4 linked regions of the Arabidopsis thaliana genome follow. The protein of the gene in region 3 binds, or shares a complex with, the protein of the main gene of each other region. Each region holds a gene or a part of one and is shown on either strand. Other genes may lie near its edges. The genes, in order: AT5G65274, ARPC3, ARP2 and ARPC1A.

What was found.
Region 1: ARP2 (region 3) and AT5G65274 share a complex: the UniProt entries of both Arabidopsis thaliana proteins name them as parts of the arp2/3 complex.
Region 2: ARP2 (region 3) and ARPC3 share a complex: the UniProt entries of both Arabidopsis thaliana proteins name them as parts of the arp2/3 complex.
Region 4: ARP2 (region 3) and ARPC1A share a complex: the UniProt entries of both Arabidopsis thaliana proteins name them as parts of the arp2/3 complex.

What each region holds. Positions count from the first base shown.
Region 1 is NC_003076.8:26,083,656-26,086,485, forward strand, and holds AT5G65274 (ARP2/3 complex 16 kDa subunit (p16-Arc)), read left to right. Parts: upstream 1-1,644; coding exon 1,645-1,742; intron 1,743-1,820; coding exon 1,821-1,893; intron 1,894-1,937; exon of another isoform or gene 1,938-1,983; coding exon 1,984-2,084; exon of another isoform or gene 2,085-2,169; coding exon 2,170-2,305; downstream 2,306-2,830. Other genes in the region: RABA4a (RAB GTPase homolog A4A), read left to right, coding at 1-14, 448-895; GCL1 (GCR2-like 1), read right to left, coding at 2,474-2,830. UniProt on the Arabidopsis thaliana protein: Functions as a component of the Arp2/3 complex which is involved in regulation of actin polymerization and together with an activating nucleation-promoting factor (NPF) mediates the formation of branched actin networks.
Region 2 is NC_003070.9:22,263,862-22,267,611, forward strand, and holds ARPC3 (actin-related protein C3), read right to left. Parts: upstream 2,216-3,750; 5' UTR 1,971-2,215; intron 1,901-1,970; exon of another isoform or gene 1,888-1,900; 5' UTR 1,822-1,887; coding exon 1,819-1,821; intron 1,622-1,818; coding exon 1,513-1,621; intron 1,438-1,512; coding exon 1,168-1,437; coding exon of another isoform or gene 1,136-1,167; intron 1,079-1,135; coding exon 936-1,078; 3' UTR 918-935; intron 796-917; 3' UTR 524-795; downstream 1-523. Other genes in the region: AT1G60420 (DC1 domain-containing protein), read left to right, coding at 1-382; PANK1 (pantothenate kinase 1), read right to left, coding at 2,792-3,017, 3,123-3,235, 3,331-3,462, 3,559-3,652, 3,727-3,750. UniProt on the Arabidopsis thaliana protein: Functions as a component of the Arp2/3 complex which is involved in regulation of actin polymerization and together with an activating nucleation-promoting factor (NPF) mediates the formation of branched actin networks.
Region 3 is NC_003074.8:9,951,973-9,957,684, forward strand, and holds ARP2 (actin related protein 2), read right to left. Parts: upstream 4,011-5,712; 5' UTR 3,813-4,010; coding exon 3,771-3,812; intron 3,482-3,770; coding exon 3,371-3,481; intron 3,253-3,370; coding exon 3,118-3,252; intron 3,030-3,117; coding exon 2,958-3,029; intron 2,879-2,957; coding exon 2,800-2,878; intron 2,679-2,799; coding exon 2,629-2,678; intron 2,548-2,628; coding exon 2,444-2,547; intron 2,356-2,443; coding exon 2,287-2,355; intron 2,189-2,286; coding exon 2,125-2,188; intron 1,721-2,124; coding exon 1,652-1,720; intron 1,557-1,651; coding exon 1,473-1,556; intron 1,377-1,472; coding exon 1,318-1,376; intron 1,233-1,317; coding exon 1,166-1,232; intron 1,078-1,165; coding exon 994-1,077; intron 896-993; coding exon 815-895; 3' UTR 507-814; downstream 1-506. UniProt on the Arabidopsis thaliana protein: Functions as ATP-binding component of the Arp2/3 complex which is involved in regulation of actin polymerization and together with an activating nucleation-promoting factor (NPF) mediates the formation of branched actin networks.
Region 4 is NC_003071.7:13,150,832-13,157,532, forward strand, and holds ARPC1A (actin-related protein C1A), read left to right. Parts: upstream 1-1,957; 5' UTR 1,958-2,066; intron 2,067-2,341; exon of another isoform or gene 2,342-2,407; 5' UTR 2,408-2,615; coding exon 2,616-2,685; intron 2,686-3,055; coding exon 3,056-3,144; intron 3,145-3,339; coding exon 3,340-3,416; intron 3,417-3,519; coding exon 3,520-3,614; intron 3,615-3,730; coding exon 3,731-3,800; intron 3,801-4,058; coding exon 4,059-4,128; intron 4,129-4,363; coding exon 4,364-4,437; coding exon of another isoform or gene 4,438-4,456; intron 4,457-4,524; coding exon 4,525-4,567; intron 4,568-4,664; coding exon of another isoform or gene 4,665-4,688; coding exon 4,689-4,770; intron 4,771-4,905; coding exon 4,906-4,994; intron 4,995-5,088; coding exon 5,089-5,174; intron 5,175-5,331; coding exon 5,332-5,395; intron 5,396-5,594; coding exon 5,595-5,695; intron 5,696-5,817; coding exon 5,818-5,876; intron 5,877-5,970; coding exon 5,971-6,038; 3' UTR 6,039-6,201; downstream 6,202-6,701. Other genes in the region: TBL43 (TRICHOME BIREFRINGENCE-LIKE 43), read left to right, coding at 428-605, 696-871, 960-1,118, 1,283-1,586; COQ3 (coenzyme Q 3), read right to left, coding at 6,578-6,697. UniProt on the Arabidopsis thaliana protein: Functions as a component of the Arp2/3 complex which is involved in regulation of actin polymerization and together with an activating nucleation-promoting factor (NPF) mediates the formation of branched actin networks.

The sequences.
Region 1 (2,830 bases), on a different chromosome or scaffold from region 3:
GCCGGCCAAGAACGGTAATCTCCGACCTCTCCCGGAACTTTTAGCTACTTCAATTGCTTGAACTTAGATCTCGTAAGATTTTACTGTTTCTCTAGATCTGGAAGATGATAGGTCTGCTTAGGATTTCGAATTCTAGTAAAGCTTACTGATCTGTATACGAAATTGGGAGGATCTGAAGTAAAATGGTAGAATCATTGAGAATTTGGGATTGGGATTTCAAAATTATGTATAGACTAGAATTATGTATATTACTATTCCAATGTTATTAAGCTTCTATAATTTTATGATTGGTACAAATTTGGACACTTTTGTTATACATTTCCCAGTGATGCTTCATCAACTTTATACATTCACTGATCTTTAATGAGTAAGCTAACCACCACATTTCATGCTTATCATATGCTTACATTGTATATCTTTCTATATGTGTGGTATTGGTTGAAACAGATACAGAGCAGTAACAAGTGCATATTACCGAGGAGCGGTTGGGGCGATGTTGGTGTATGACATAACCAGACGCCAAACCTTTGACCATATCCCAAGATGGTTAGAAGAACTACGTGCTCATGCAGATAAGAACATTGTGATAATCCTTATTGGGAACAAGTCAGATCTTGTGGATCAACGAGCTATACCGACAGAAGATGCGAAAGAATTTGCGGAGAAAGAAGGTTTGTTCTTCTTGGAGACATCTGCATTTAACGCAACCAATGTTGAGAGCGCTTTCTCCACGGTTTTGACTGAGATCTTCAACATTGTGAACAAGAAAAGTCTGGCTGCGAGTGAAGATCAAGAGAATGGTAATCCCGGGTCGCTTGCTGGTAAGAAGATTGATATTGTTCCAGGTCCTGGTCAAGTGATACCAAACAAGAGTAACATGTGTTGTAACTCTTAGATAAACCAATTCAATTCTTGAATGTTACTTGATAACAACAATATATAGATGTTTTAAAGACTCTGATTGGGATATTTCTCCTATCTAGAGCTGTGTGATTCATTTGTTGCTTAATGAGCAGTTTTTGTGGGGTTTTGGGGTGTTGAATCCAAGTATAACAAACCGATCTTAATTTGATCTTAAAAATTGGATATTAATTTGATCAACATGTTTTTATTCTCTCTACATTTGTAAGATTATTGTTACATTTTTGTTAATTACAAATATATACCAGCAATAACAACTTTTCTATTTCTCTTGTTACGTCAATGTGAAAAAGTAAAAATTAAAAACTGAAGCATCCGATTTTAATAATTGGTATCACAGTTCTGATAAATTCTCACTCGGCCGTTTTACCACTCGATTGCTTTATTCTCTCTAATTTCAGGTAATCTTCGAATCCTGCTTGATTCTTCAATCTTGTATGATTTGATCAGAAAGTTCAGGATTACTGATCTGATATGATGTGAGAAATCTGCGTACCATCGGCAATGGATTGTTTTACGTGATTAGAATTGATTTTGTCGTGATTGTTACTTCTCTTTTTAGCTTTTTATGGGGATGACAAGTTTTGCATTGCCTCCTTTGGTTAGTAAACTCAAATCATATGTTTCTTATGCAGCAAGTTGTCGATTTGAATGAAGAAATGAAATTAATTGATTAGGTTTTAGATAATTTTGCTGGAGAGTGTAGAGAAAGAGAGAGATCCAATGGCTGGTGCAGCAGCATTTGTTGAAGCTGATAATGCAGAGGAAATAATGGCAAGGATCGAAACCAAATCGCAGAAGATTGAAAGCTTACTCAAACAGTAATAACCCTAAAGTTCCTTTTTTCTTCCAACTTTCTCAGATGACCTAGGCTATAATTGTTACTTCGTTTTATTCAGCTACAAACATGTCGAAGCTCTTAAAACGGCTCTTGATGGTTCGCCACCTAAAACTCTCGACGAACGTTGCAAGGTCCTACTGTTTCCTCTACCATGCACATAAGTAGTTTGTTCATGATCAAAAAGATTGTGTAATTTATGATAAATATCTGTGAAATTGCAGTCAGCTAATTGGATAGTTGTGCACAGAGCTATCATGGCGATAAAGGATATCGAAGGAATGTTAAATTCTCTTACTGCCGAGTATTACGACATTCTCATGAAGTAAGTCTCTTGCCTTTTGCTCTGCTAGCTTTTAATTAGCGTGATGTGGAAGCAGTGTTTTGTTTGCTTAAATGGTGTGGATCAGGTACTTGTACAGAGGTCTTTCGACTGGTGACGAACCCACATGCGAACAGTGTTTGATGATTCACGAGAAACTAACAGAGAGAGCTGGTCTCGGTTGCATTCTCCGTTGTCTGAGTGATACTACCAATACCGTTTAAACCATTAAGCTGATCTTTTCATGTTACTTTTATTCTTGTTTTCTATGAATGTTTCTCCCAAATCTCAAGTTACTTCAATAGATTATAGAAAGTGGAATAAACCGGAGAACCTAAGATCCTTTCACAAAGAGATAGTCATAAAAGAACCTACGGTTACCTGGTTTTAAATTATATCTCATAACCAGGAAACTTAGAATCTACCGGCGACACAAGATCGAACCAGAGGCATACTGGTCCAGCTAGTCCCCGGAATAGCGAATAATCATGTTCTGTTTCTTGGCTTGTCATATTCACGAGCTCTATCGCATCACGGCACAAGTAACTCGCAAACGCTTTTGCTCTCTCTTCATATACAACATCTCCGGTTAAGCGATAAAGGGATAAGAAAGCGTAGGCATTACCAGCAACTCCATCAGCTAAACCTACCTTCTTCACCAAGCCACTCTTCCACACTACTTCTCCTGCTTCAATGGCTGCTTCGCGGAAATCCCTTTCCTTGGGAAACACCTGAGATGCTTTAGCCAA
Region 2 (3,750 bases), on a different chromosome or scaffold from region 3:
AACTGGGCAAACCGTAACAAAAGAAGCAAGGGACCTTGTCGTAGCCCATGGAGCCGATGCTTACCCTTTTACTGAGGAACGTTTGAAGGAGATTGAAGCTAAGTACGATGAGATAGCAAAAGATTGGCCTAAGAAGGTGAAACATGTTCTCCATGAAGAACATGAGCTAGAACTAACTCGTGTTCAGGTTTACACATGCGATAAGTGTGAGGAAGAAGGGACAATATGGTCTTACCATTGCGACGAATGCGACTTTGATCTTCACGCCAAGTGTGCTTTAAACGAGGACACAAAAGAAAACGGCGATGAGGCTGTGAAAGTTGGTGGCGACGAGTCCAAAGATGGTTGGGTTTGTGAAGGAAACGTATGCACCAAGGCCTGATAGGTAGCTTCAGGCACAGTTATGTCACTATGTGTATGCAAAGCTATTTCCTTTCTTTGTATAATTGCTAAGAGTGAGAATGTGTGGTTACAATCTGATATCTGATTAAGACCTTGGAGATAAACTCTGTTAATCTAAAGTAATAATAAAAGAATCTTCTTATTTAACTTTGATCTTGTATCAACAAATTTTATATTCCAACAGGAGTTGTATGAAACAATACATTGGCACACTCTATGTATATATCAAGAGATACAGAGAGAGAGCATTCTGCTCTCAGATGAAATTTTCGTCTTCCTGGTTCCAGTGGCTAACACCTATGCAGAGGAAGCTAAAGGTGGCGATTCTCATGATCTCCAGTGGCTTTGGATTCCCTCATTCGTAATGGGCAGCAAGCAAGGAAGAATAACCAGCTGCTAAATTATGAAAAAATCAGATCAAAAGAAAAACATTTTAAGCTTGAAATGTAGAACTGTTTGAGATGGATCTAAGATCACGTGGGATTTTGGATCCAGTAAACTAAAGTGATACTTACCAGTGATTCTCTGTTTTATCATAGGACGACCACGTTCATGAATTTCCTCTTGGCGAATGCAAGCCACCATTTATTTGGTGTCCCGTTGGCTCTATATGCTACACTCAGTAACCTCCCACTTGTCTCCTCTCGAACCTGCTTAAGATAGTTCCTGAAAAGCTCTGACATTTGAAGCCAAACAGAACACAAGGCTAAGGACCAAGTAACTGAAAGAAAAATCAATAAGAGTTGTTTAGACATGTATATATACCTGCTTCGTCCTGGGACTGCGGAAGCGAAAAGAGACCTGGGAAAGGAAAGCCAGTTTCTCCAGGAACAGGAATATCTTCTAAACCCAAGTTGATAATCGCTTTAGTTCCAACAGCCAATGTTCTACAGCCTTCAAGCCTCTTTAACGCCACATTTATATAAAACGTCAAGTAAATAAGGAGCTTATCAGCAGGACTTTTGATATCAAAGTTTGTGAAGAAGACATTAGCACGAAAGAAGGTGATTGCCTCGTCTACTATATCAGTTTTATCTGCATATAAAACCAACAATTTACAAAAGCTTTCGATCGCACAATTGAAAAAAATCACATGTTTTGATTAATTACCTTGTTCTGAAACAGGTGCAGGACCTTTTATATGACTCTTGAGAGGAAGCAATGGACAACCACATGCCTTTGTTACTCCTTCTTCATCCACAAAACTCGAGTGATAAACCTGATCAGAGCATTTAATCACAAGGATTAAGGAAACAAAATGAGCATCGCAGAGTTAAATACTCCATGGAACCAAATCAAAGTGAAACAAGCTCAATAAATAAAAAAAATCTCATCGAAGATCTAATCTAATTTCATTAGTTACAAAATGAAATGCGATTAATGCTAATTGAAAGATAAGAAAATGGTGATCCGTACCATTTTGTGCCGAATTTGAACAATGAAGCGATATCAGGAAGGAGAAGAATCGAATCGAAGGTAGATCTGCTGCAATTAAGATCTTGGATATATAAGAATCAGAATTTAGGTGAACGATTGATTCTATAGATGAAGAAAGAAAAAGTTTTTACCTAAACGAGATCAGATCAATTTCAACTTCTTTAGCGTCTACGAAAGAGGAAAGACTGCGTAAAGTTCACACGGTGAAGAATCCTTCGTGATGTTGCGGCGGTCGGAGATTGTCTTATTGGGAAGCTTAATCGCCGGCTGAAGAAGAAATTGAAATGGAAAATCGACGAAGTAGGAAAAAGGAATGAAGAACAGAAGAAGAAGAAGACAGAGAGGTATGGATGACACGTGTAAGACTCCATGAATGTGGTACATTGCTTCGTACCGGGAGTAACCAATGTTAAATCCGGCTTAGCTTTGATTTTTGAGTTTCTCGGTTTTTTTATTTGAAATTTGGTTTCTTATCGACCACTGGAATTAGGTACATCAAAAACCAAATAATGATGTGGTTCATTCTTCGGTTCAGTTTCGGGTTACATCAAAGTGGTTTGACCGGATTAAACATTGATCTTCAATCAACAACAACAACAAAATGTCCATATAAGTGTCAAGTTTCTGTTATTTCTGCTGAATGGATAAAAACTTGTTACATAAGCAATATACAAAACTTAGTAAACAAAGGCTAAACAGAAATGCACAAATACTTGCAATGCACCGGACTAAACCGAGATTTAAAGAAGCTCTAGTGAGATTTAATAAGTGTGTTTGATTCTTTGTGTGATATATAGTACAAGTTACATTGGTCATACATGAATATTAATACGTGAATCATCTTACATAAATGTGTCTAACATTCAACAAACTAGTAATGAGCAGCTCTTGACTCAAACAGTTGATTAAACATATTTCTACACTGAATTGATAATAATACAACTGGTGATAACTAAACTAAATTGATGCTACATTCTATGGTCTCGCTTTCGTTTAAATTTGAAGTTACTGGGATGTGCCGAAAGTTATGACCTGAACAGTTGAGAATTGCTCTTTGCACAGTGTGATGATGCGGTTTTAAATCGTTATGGCTCTGGTCATTGTAGCTCGTGAAAGCGCCTAATGCTCCAAGAAACCCTTCATGTCGTAAAAACATTGCCTTTGCCTCACCTCTCGACCTGAAATGAGAAGGAAAAATGAGAAAGTTCGATAAAGATTTTGTGGACATACATGAGTTTAAGATATGGAGGGATTTGATTAAGTAGTTTCGGTTTTGGATTTACCAAAAGTGAACAGCAACGGAGATTGTGTCCATGGTGTACTCAAGCCCACGGATGAAAAATCCACCAAAGAAAATACGCTTAAGACCGAATCTGAGAGCATTCAAATAAGCAATCTGGAGGGAGAGTAGAAAACGTTACAATTCGATCAGAATATCATCAGCTTCAAATTATGTTTTAAAATGGCATTAAAATGTTCAGAGGAACTGACCTGACCGATGTTATTTGATATCATTCTTAGAAGGGACCTTGCCACATCTTCTGGCTGGTAATCTTCAAGTTCTTTACCATCAGAAATCGCTTTCCCAAAGCTGGAAGCGATAGCTGTTGAGGAGAGACCAATCTATCAAAAAAGAATGAACAAAAGGTTATATTAACATATGAATCTAATCTAAAAGTCTTCAGACATGTTTAAGCAAAACCAGGATCAATCAATTACCTTTGAATAATCTGTTCCACCGTAGATATCCCCCACAAGCATGTCAATTACTCTGTTATTTCCATGGTGGCTTAACTCTAGCAGCTCATCAAAACTGAAATTAAGAAATATTAGTTGTTACTCAGGCAAGGAGGAAACTTACATTAATAGACTTAACTAAGAAGTCACCTCTTGCATTTTGTTAAAAGCTTC
Region 3 (5,712 bases):
AATGTCTCCAAAACTCGCCGGAGAAGTTTGAGCAGTTTGGAAATAATCTTCGTCGTGGTTAGATTTGGATGAACCACCGGGTGATTTCTCTATAACTTTATGGGCCTATATCTCTTTATTGGGCCAACGCTCATAATGTTTTATATGTCGTTGAGGTAGTTTAACAGTCACCAACACCAACGTTTCTGACACGGTGTTGCCGTTATTGGGCCAAAGCCCATATTAAGACCTCAAAAAGTTTTTACAGTTTTTTATTTTGGGATTGTAAATCAGTTTTTTTTGTTTCTAGTTAATTTAAAAGTTTTCAAATCCTTTTTTACTCATGGCAGGTTAGGTAATCATTTTGTCTTTGATCTAGCTTGAAGCTGCTGTACTTAGACTAGCTGCAGAACATGCAGTAGAAGGAAGCTGGTTCCATCAATTCAGAGTTGTGGCAATCTTTTGGGTTTTAACAGAAAACAATAGGGATCTACCTTGTGTGGCAAGAAATAGGGTTCCTTTTCAAAATTACAAATAATCTTTCACTGTTTTGACTCTGTTTGCTTACTCAAGAATTAAGATATATGCATTTCGTCTCTTCTCGACCTTTTGGCTTTGGTTATTACACAATATATTAGTCTCAACATTATTAGTTAATACACGTTTTTCTGTATATCCCACCAATCACATGTCGAATTTTGGATCCCTAACTGCAACCAATTGTACTCAAACTTTGAAACCTAAAATACTGAATTCACAAACGGAATTAAATCATCCTGACGGTAGTAAAAAAAAGGGGTACAAGTACAAGTATGAGTTCTGCGTTTGAAAGTTATTAAGCTTGGCTCATTTTATTCAAACAATTAATTCCTTCTTCCATATAGTCCTCTCTATTGATCCAGAACTCTGGTGCGTCCTGCAACATCGAATCCAAATTCTCTTAACATCATAACACAGACTAAAATTTCATGCTTTCGTGTTAAAAGAGAGAATAGCATTGAACTTTTCTCTTACCTTCATGATTCCTGCAAGAACAGCACCTCCGAGGTATACCATGTGTTTCCTTCTCGGTGGATCTTCGATCCGCAATCTGAGTTTCTGATTGATAAGAAAAACGAAGATAAATGTTAAAAACTGAGCTAATGACTGACAGTGATCATGGCATTATCAGAATCATCTTTTTTACCTTCAAGCCATCTTTGTTTCCTTTTAGAACTGTGTCGAGATACCGATCCTGTATTTCTTTCTCAAGACTGAAACAAACAGAGAATAAAAGACAATGAAACATAAAACAATGGAACTTCTTGCTGGGTTATGATGAAGAAAAAATATACGAACCGGCTAGGTAATCCTGGGTACATGGTGCTACCTCCGCTTAAAACTATGTGTTGGTAGAGCTGTGAAAAAAGAGCAAAGGGTTTAAGACAGATAAATGATTAGTTTTGTTGGATCTTTCTTTTGAAATACCAAGCAAGCGTAAGAGTCACACGAACCATCATGCGGTTATCAATATCCATTTCTTGAATACATCGGAAAACCATGTCTGCCATTCCATCACCTTCAACATCAATGAGTTCCTGAAAAAATATTTGGTTGTGATCAGCCTCGAGATTCTTGGAGGGTTGAAACTATTCCAAAAGAGAAATTAGCAGAGGACGCGATGAAGGTTTACCGGAGTAAAAAGCGCTTCAGGTGCTTGGAATCTTTCAGTGCCTACTTTGATAACCCTCCCATCTGGAAGCTGATCACAGTTCAAAAACACAACGGGTTAGTACTCTGGAAAAAAAATAATTTGGTGATAATATCAGCTTTAGAGGCTGCAACTGGCACAAGTATGAAACTTTATCGACTATCGGATGAAAAATCCCAAACACAGCGCCCAAGAACAGAGAAACGATGTCATGAAAAGAAAAGATGATAATATCATTCTTTCATTACCAAAAAGAACAAAGGAATGATGGCACGAATCTTTAAAGTTCTCTACAGGCTCAAGTTCGCCAAGAATCTGCTATCTATTTAGTTCTGATCATGAGTTTGGATTCCTATTAGCTTAACGTACACTAGTTTCTGTTTCTTGCCTCTATTTGCCATCGAAACCTTGAAAATTCACACACCTGACAGGTTCATACCAGGAGAGAGACTTACAGTATAATTCTTAACAAGGATAGTTGTCTCAAGGCCAAGCTGAGATTCTCTCTTGTAATCATAACTGCAAAAAAAGACAAAACAAATTGTGTTTATTTCCTATTCTAGTAATGCATTACTACACAGATATTAGAGGAAAGCTGAGAAGAGGTCTTTGCATGCCTTATATAGCAGAGCTTCTCTTTAATTTCCCTAACCGTCTCAAAGTCAGCTGTTTTGTTCATCGCATATCTGTTGAACAAACAGTCTTTTAGTTTAGCTAATTTAAAACATCTCAACATCATTAAAATGAATGTGAGTCTATGAATCAGTTTCTCACCCTCGTCGAGATAGTAGATCAACGAGATATGCTGTTATGTGTCTGCCAGCAACATTCATTCTTTTAGTAAGATGAGGGAACGAGTAGCCGTCAACCACCGGAACCTAAGATGTGAGGCGAAGACGGTTAACTTCTCTATTATAAGCAATATATGATCTAAAAAATTACAGAGGTTTATAGCTTACCACATGAGTAACACCATCACCAGAATCAATAACCAAACCAGTTAGCAAACCTGAAACCAAGAGTTCAACACATGAAGAAAAATATCAGGGAAGCACACATAAATGCTATTTACAGGTGACTATCTAAACACACGAAAGAAAATCTAAACCTTCAATAGTCTCCATAAGCACCTTGAGCATAGAGAGTCAAAACGGCTTGGATTTGAATGAAAACGCCAGCGAAATTGTATTTCTCAAACATTGTCTCAATCTGTTTTATAACATAAAATAAATCACTGCTCCAACAACCATCAAAGCAACTCTTAACCAAAGACTTGATAATATCTTACCATTTTTTCACGATTCTTGGACGGATTAAGAGGTGGATCCGTGAGCAATATCTTACAGTCAGATGGATTGATCTGTTAATAACAAAAAGGGTTTAAGAGTAAGTCAAGACACATGGAACCGAGACAAAAATGGCAAGAAGAAGCAGGAGAAGAAACTTACTTTCAATTCGTTATAGAAAGCATGATCCCAAACATGTTCCATATCATCCCAATTCTGCACAATACCATTGTGGACAGGATAATTTATATCCAATTGATGCCGGAGCTCAGAGCAAGTCTCCCCAACAACTATATCCTAAAATGAAACAAAACCAAAACGTATATGAATCCGAATTACGCATATCAGCTCAGTCAAAACTCAAAAGGCTAACAATGATCTGGTTTTGCTTATTTAAAGTCACATATCTACAAACCTTGACTTGTTGCTCCATGAGTGATTCTTCATACCGAAGCAATGGCCTTCCCACGACACAGGGGAAAACAGACGTTGGGAAATTCTCTCCAGCAAATCCACATTTTACATACTGAAAAATTTAATAAGAGGCTCACAATTTGTTCCCATCACAAGAAACTCAAAACTTAAGCAACCCATTATGAGATTTCTCATGTATTAGTTTTGATTTCAATAGAAACACGATCTTACACTATGCTAAGACATGAAAGTTTTCAAATTTTGCAACTTTAAGACAACTAGATCCTAAACAAACTCAAAAGTGAGATTTTTAACGAAACCCAGATAGGAATGGAATGATTGATCAGATTCAACTAAAGTTCGGAGTCTGAAACAAGAGATATCAGAGAGAAGAAGCTTACACCGGTGCCGTTGTCGCAAACGACGACGTTTTTGTTGTCCATCTTCTCCGATTTCTATAGAGACTACAGATTTTTATCGAAGTACAAAAATTTCGATTTCTTCGATTCGATCTCTCAGGGAACAAAAGAAAAAACCTGTCTTTGAATCGAAGCGAAGAATCACTCTTCTCTACTTGTTTGGTCGCGATCGAGAAAACATATTTGCTCTTCGACAAACAAAAAGCAGCTGTTTCCTCGTTTCTTTATAAGAATGCGCGTCGTTTACTCTACGTGAAAACGTCACGTAGTGCAAACGGTCAATACATAGAAAAAATTATTAAATACGTTACCCCTTTTCTCGAATTATTGAGATGGAGTTAACTTGGTTGTGGGTATTGATGGGCTATCTCAGGCCCATATTAGGTCAAACAGATAATTCTGTTTACTTGTATAACAATCTTCTAGATGATCTAAACTAAGAATTAGTAAATGATCATCATGCAATCCCTTGATCAGAGATTTCAATCACTATTAGGGTTATGTTACGAGAAAGATGTTACTAGGGTTTTGGTACGAAGTTGGGATATCAATCTTCTTCTAGGTTTTTTTGTTGTCTCTATGTTGTCTCAATACTAAAATTTATTCTACATAACATGTTGTAAATTAAGTTCCTGTCACAACATGTTATGTATCAGTCACCAATATAGTAAAAATAAGATAAGACTTTTACAGTTTCACACACACAAGTCCAATGACTTGTTCGATGTAAAATCAGCTTTCATGTTTTCACTTTTATATAGGTTAATTAGGACACACACTGTCTCTCATGCTTACTGGAACATTGCTAAGCTGCTTTATTTAGTTCTGGTAAGAACAAAACTGCATGTCTTAGACCTCAAAGTAACCACGCGTTTCATCTTCACTTCTGTATATTGAAATGGAAGAATTCGTAGACAAGTCAAGCTCCTTGCCCAATGTGTCGAAGAGAATGGAAATTAAAAGAGTAAGCAACTTAAGTCACGCTCTCATCATGAGGGAGGCTTTGGAATGGATCTATTGGAGTTGTATTTGGACCATAGTGTTGAGTTAGATCATTGCTCAAAAGGGAAAGAGAGAGCTTTGTGAATGTTTTTGAATTTTCTTCACTTGTTTTGATTGGTTGGACAAATCATAGAGATCAAGCAACTTTTTGACTCGTTAACCTCTCTCTCTCTCTCTCTCTTAGTCTCTTTCCTTAGTTCCGTCAAATTCAAGTCAAAATGAGTAAAATGATATAAACTTTTTGACTCGTTGAACAATTTATACTTATCTTTGAAAAAGCTTGCAAGGCAAAGAGTAAATGCAATACCAGCTTATTTGGTTCCCAACTGCGAAGGGTTTGTACCTAGTTCAAAACCTTCCCACAGTTAACGGCACACTCAGGGCAATAACATGAATGTAAGTAAGAGTTAAAGAATACAACGTTACCATCATTGTGAAATCCATTGCAGCTCAAAGCCACTGAATCAGAACATGCAGCGAAGTGTTTTACACTCGACTCTAAACGAAAGTCTTTAACTCATTCAGAGAGATCGAACGAAAGAGAACAATCTTTGGAGATGCAATAGAAGAATACTGAGCAAAAGAGAGCTATAAATCTTCATTCTACAAATATGTGATGGAAGACAAGTATACATTACCATTGTTGTACTATCTGAAAAAAGCCGGTTTCTTGATATTCAAAAGCAACAAAACTCAGAACAAGTAAAAACAAGCCTCTCTGCAACTTAAAGACTCCAAACAAAAAAATCTCTGGCTGTGTGTATTCAACAAACTCCACCTGCAAGTTCAAACAACAACTGCCAAAAAATTGTCACAAACACTCGGAAAAAAAGGTTTGAAGATTCCACTCTCTTGTATCATCATCCTCAAATTGAACTCACCTTGTGTTTTTGCAGAGGTTTCAATAAGTATAGATTATCAC
Region 4 (6,701 bases), on a different chromosome or scaffold from region 3:
TTAACTTTTAAGGCATGTAACTAGTCATAGGTGAATTGCTATGAGTACCACTATACTTCAGGACGACTTGGGCATCAACTAGCATTGTATCGGAAAATTTCATTTTCAAAAACGTCTTTAGTATTTCTTGAGGGGGATTAATAGGTTTTTAATTAGGATTTATTATTGGATTCAAATCCCCTTTTATGTCGCATATAAGTTCATATGTAACTATGTAAGAATGTTATAGAATTTAGTAACCGAAGCAGCTGGTACATAAATCCATAACTATCATTTATTGGAATAAAACTGTTACAAAGACAATAAGTCACAAAATGTTACAAATTAACGGAAGTACCCAACCATTTTGTGGTAAATTATTAAACGTGAATATTTTCTCCTATGAATGATATAGAAGTGTTAAATTGATTAATGATGAATGGTGCAGATTCAACGGCTTAGATTTTCTGGGAAGGATAATGAAAGGGAAGAAACTGATGTTCGTAGGAGATTCACTGAGTCTAAACCAATGGCAATCTCTCACGTGTTTGCTCCACAACGCCGCACCAAAAGCCAATTCCACATCCACACGTTCCCCTTCTGGCCTCTCCGTCTTCTCATTCCCCGTAACGTTTTCTAACTTTATCAAACTCGTTCCGGTATTGATCCGGTTTAATAATTCTGGTTCGGTTCGTATTTAAATGCATGCAATGCAGGCTTACAATTCTTCGATTATGTTTTCAAGAAACGCGTTTCTTGTGGATATAGTCGGAGCCCCACCGAAGCGAGTGATGAAGCTTGACTCAATCTCGAGTGGTTCGTTGTGGAAAACCGCAGACGTTTTGGTCTTCAACTCTTGGCATTGGTGGCTTCACACAGACCGAAAACAACCGTAAAATCATCTTTATGTCGTCAAACATATTTTGCTATGGACTATGGACTTATTAGTATCTAACTAATGTAATCATTTGGGGTTGCAGATGGGACGCAATTATGTCCGGGAATGTAACGGTTAAAGACATGGACCGGTTAGTGGCATATGAGAAAGCAATGATGACTTGGGCTAAGTGGATTGATCAAAATATTGATCCTTCCAAAACCAAAGTCTTCTTCCAAGGTATTTCTCCGGACCATGGCCGGTAAGTTCTACCTCTATATAACTTCTTTTTTATTCGATACATACATTAAATCAACGATAAAAACTTAACACGATTGATATATGTTGGATTAGTCTATAAGTTTTCGTTAGAACCAAATAATTTCATGTTGATATTGTTAACAATAATGGTACATAATGTTACAGGGCAAGGGAATGGTCGAAACAAGGTGGCAAAGGCAGTTGCATAGGAGAAACAAAGCCGATTATGGGATCGAGTTACCTGGCTGGGCCGCACGCAGCCGAGATGGTGGTGGCGAAAGTGATAAAGACGATGAAGAATCAGGCGCGGTTAATGGATGTGACATTGATGTCTCAGCTAAGGAAAGATGGACATCCTTCAGTATACGGTTTTGGCGGTCACAGAATGGCGGATTGTAGCCATTGGTGTCTCTCTGGAGTCCCGGATAGCTGGAACCAGCTCTTGTATTCTGAGCTGTTTCATTCTTAAAATTTTGATGGTTTTGACACAAAACTAAATTCATTATATGATTTATACATTTATTTATGACCTAACCATGTTTGTGTTGTTTTACACATTTATTTTATGTCATAAACATGTTTATTTAGAATTTCAAATTCATTTGTCAACCAAAATGTTTAAATGAGAACAAGATTCTTTGACTGGTCGAACAATTTATAAGAGAAGAATTTGCAAGAATATAACCTTATGATCTCGTTATAATTGAATGGACTAAATATGTGTCCTGAATCTCTAAGTGAGAGATTAGAGGAAGACCAAAACTAGAAGTAAACCTTATTCCACGAGAGGGGATAACTAGCGTAGCTTATATAATAACTTTGTACAATGATTTGGGGTTAAGTTATTTTTGGATTATGCTAAATCAAAATCTAATATAGTGGTGCAAGCCCCTTGACTTGGGTCAATGATTCAAAAGCTTATACAAAAAAAAAAACGAAAAAACTAATAGTAAAACATTACTTTAGAAAAAAGTTACTAATCAATATTTTTTTAAAAATTTCAGATTACTTTATAAGTTACTCTATACTCATAGACTCATAGTGAGATATAGTTCTATTTTTACATGGATGAATTGGATCGAATCCATTTATCTACATTAATGTATTTAACTAATGCAGAACTTAAGCCTTTTATCGGAAAAAACAAAAACAAAACTAATGCAGATTACAGAACTATAGATTTAAAAATAAAAATAATTCGATTTTTTCCTTATTATTATGCTGGTTTGCCCAAAAATAAAGGTCCAAGTAAAACTGAAATTGATCTGGTCATAAAAATTGGGGCTTTAGTAAAAAAAAAAAAAAAAAAAAAAACATCTGTCTCTTTCACTTCACGTTTGCGACTGTGTCGTCGTCCACCTCCGGATCTCATCGGCGTTTCATCATAATTATCTGTCCATCTATTCACCGTACGACTCCGTTTTAGGAATCTGTGGATGTCAATTTGAGAGAAAAGACTGTCTTCATTACAACACATTTGGGACAACAAGGATCACTCATGGCAGTGGTGGATGTTCATCGTTTCGCTGAGTCAATCACTTGCCATGCTTGGAGTCCTGATCTCTCCAGTATGTTTCTAACACCTCTCTGATTTTGTGATTCTCTTCTTTCTCTCTTCCGTCGTTTTTTCCGTTTTAGAATTATAAATGAGGAGGATCTATCTATAGTTAGTTTGGCTGGGAAGATAGATAGATGATACAACTAAATTGACTTGTGTTATTCTTATACATCTTGGTAATCAAATTTCTTCGAGTCAATGTTTTATATGTCTGTTTGTCGGTGTCTCTTGTTAGGAACACTTGGTATCTAGTATTGTACATTAGTAGATGCGCTTTTCTAAACAGATGAACCAAATCTATTGTTACAAATGATTTAACGTCTGTACTAAAGCCTGTAACCATTTATGTGCTTTGACATTTGTTTCGTTTTTCTTGGTAGTGGTTGCTCTCTGTCCTAACAACACTGAAGTTCATATCTATAAATCATTGTCTCAAGACCACTGGGAGAGGTTACATGTCCTCCAAAAGGTGAAACCTTTCTCTCTCCCTCTCTTTCTGTAACTTTTGAACTTGCATTCCTTTTGCTTTCTCTTCTTGGGAATTCCTTACTTTCGTATATTTATGTATTCTCATTTCACTGATCACTTGTCGCTGATAAGTGTTGTATAGACAGCTTGAATCTCCCTTACAACAACTTCATGATTATTGTTCGTCTTGTTGCAGCATGACCAAATTGTTTCTGGAATAGATTGGAGCTCAAAGTCCAACAAAATCGTCACTGTTTCTCATGACAGGAACTCGTAAGTTGCTACCTTTGATATACTTTGAGAAACTCCAAACCTGTTAATCTTAGTCCTTCACTTTTTTTCGTTCGTTGAACTGAGTTTAGAATGCTTCTTGAAGGTACGTCTGGAGCCTGGAAGGAGCTGAATGGGTACCAACTCTCGTTATTCTTAGACTAAATCGTGCTGCACTTTGTGTCCAATGGAGCCCCAAAGGTAAATGTTTAATTTTTCTGGTTCTTAAGCTTAATTTCCGTAATATGTAGTGTAATTTTCCTATAATTTCTACAGCTTCTAATCTATGTTCTCATCTTTTTGCTCAATACCCATAGAGAACAAGTTTGCTGTTGGAAGTGGTGCTAAAACTGTTTGTATTTGCTATTATGAGCAAGAGAATAACTGGTATTTTCTTCTTCTGCTCCTAATTCTCATTATTAGTCCTTGATTTTTTCTTTGGCAAGTTTCCTGACTTCTTTGCTACGAATGGTGTTGTTGGTCTATGTAATGATATTATTTTGTCTTATGTACTGGCATGATATTAGCACCAATCATATTTTTTATTATCTTGGCATGCATAACTGTGTATTGTTTAGAGATTTTAGAAAGATACTTTCATGTAAACTTTTAGTATCTGACATTGCTTGGCTTTACTGTTTTCAGGTGGGTCAGTAAGCTAATCCGGAAAAGGCACGAATCTTCAGTCACATCTGTTGCTTGGCATCCTAATAATGTACGTGCAATCAACAGAACCTCTTGTAGTTCATGTAGTTAAAATAATAAGCAGGCTCTCTGTAAAAGCATTCTCTACCAAAAATATTCTATAAGTTGGCCACCAGATTGAGTATAGAGTACATGATCCCTAAAAATAGAATATCAATCTCCACAAACTAGTTAATCTTCTAAATCATTTTTTCTCGTATGCTTTTTTATGTTGCTGTGCTCTCTGATTGTCTGTTATGCATTAGGTTCTTCTGGCAACGACATCAACAGATGGAAAATGTCGGGTATTTTCAACATTTATCAAAGGAGTTGACACAAAGTATGCTCATTACTTGAACGTCTACTTTTAAAACATTTTTTCAAACATGAGGCCGTTTCTTATTTGTCTTTCAATGGGCTGATACAGGGATTCAAAAGCAGGCTCACCAGCGGAAACGAAATTTGGGGAGGTTTGACTCGTTTGGCTGGCTTTCCTTCTTTTAGTAAATAGTATACCACTTCTGCCATATATATGTTCCCTCTACTCACTCTCTTATCTAATGTTAGGGAGCTTTTTTTCTGTTGAAACAGCAAATTCTTCAGCTTGATCTCTCATATTCTTGGGCATTTGGTGTTAAATGGTCTCCAAGTGGAAACACCTTAGCTTATGTAGGTCAGAATATCCTTAAAACTTAAGATGTTTGTCCATTGAGCTCTACTGGAATTATAAAAATGGAACTTCACCTTGGTTGCATAATTTTTACTACACTCCGTCTCACTTCCCTTGTTCATGCAATCTTGTTTATAGGTCATAGCTCCATGATTTACTTTGTTGATGATGTTGGTCCTTCTCCTTTAGCCCAAAGCGTTGCATTTCGAGATTTGCCTCTTCGTGATGTGGGTCAGCATCCACTCTTTTTTTTCTTTTGAGAAAGTGTTCTCATGTGTTATATCCTGAATTGATATATTATCGGGAACTTGCTATCTTCAGGTCCTGTTTATTTCTGAGAAAATGGTGATAGGCGTGGGATATGACAGCAACCCGATGGTATTTGCCTCAGATGATACTGGAATATGGTGTGTAACTCTTAGTTTTCTCTTTCTTAGCTATTTCCAGACAATCAAATACTTCAATTCATTAATTCTCCTTAGCTCTCAGGCCGGATAGTTATTTCTGAAATCATCCACACACCGATGATTGCCTTGTTTACAAGTTTTTGTTTATGGTCTGCAGGAGCTTTATCAGATACATCGGAGAGAAGAAAGCAGCATCTTCAAATTCCAGTTACAGTTCGCAGGTACATACCATGTTTTCTTTCTTGAATAAAATATGAGTGAACTTAGCTTATTCCTGAAGTGTTCCTCTAAGATAGTAGTAATCTTTCGGGTTAGTGTAGTTGCTCCTTTTTTCTCCTTGGGTTTACTACTTTGAACTTTCCACTTGCATTATTTGTACTGTTTTGTCTAATCCTTTTTTTCATTATGTTATCTTTTCAGTTTTCTGAAGCATTTGGAAAATTCTACGGCAGTCAATCAAAGTCCACAACAGCCAACGATGCTTCTGAATCACGTGGAGGTGTTCATGATAACTGCATAAAGTAATTATTTCTTAAGCTAACTTTTCTTTTACCAAATCATTTGCCAGAAACCTGCCTCATTAACTCTTTTACTTCGATTGTCTATTAAGAACCTGACATGGAAGGTTACCTGAAAATTGCAGTTCCATTGTGTCTCTGAGCAAAGCAGGGAGTCCTAAAGTAATGCGATTCAGCACTTCAGGTCAGTCACTAATACAAAATGGAATTAGCCGATTCAGTTCTCAAAAAACAAACCAGCAGTTTCATTTACTCGCATAACGGTTTGTTATTTATAGGATTGGATGGCAAAGTTGCCATATGGGATCTGGAGAACATGGAACAAGAACTTGGCAATCAGTTTTAATAAACACACAAATAAAACAATTCTGGCTCACAAGCAAGGTTTTACTTAAGTTTAAACTACTTTTTCAATTTCGTAATTGTTTCACTTTGTAAACTGCCACAATAAAAGGCCTTATTTTCTTGGTTTGTGTAAGGGCAGGTATTAATAAGTTTCTTGGCTTCATGATTTGATTCATTTAGTTAGCATCTTGTAATACCTTTTATATATAGTAATATCAGCTTTGTGTCGAAAGGAGTCCATATTGAACCAAACACAACAATTTCGCAAAATTTTCAAGTTCTTGAGAAGAAGCAAAAAGCTTTGGTCCTCCGAACTATGCCATATTTACCACAAAACGAGATATCGACAAACATTAATCTTCTATCAGATGACAGAAGTGTGATTCAGAAGACCAAATATTCTTTGAATGTTTCTCACTTATTGCAAAACAACTACTGTCCTCGTCCTAAGCAACTTCCAGAGTACCTAGTTTTTAAAGCATGAACTAGAGTTGTAACTCAGAAGCAGATATGCAGAGAAACACGACTTGGAACGATTGATTATATGTCTCCAAGATCCTTCCTTTTCGTCCCATAAGCAATATAGTTGACACTAATATCATCTGACAATAACCATCTTCCTGTTATTGGGTTGTACACAAATCCAGCTATCTCTTTCACCTGC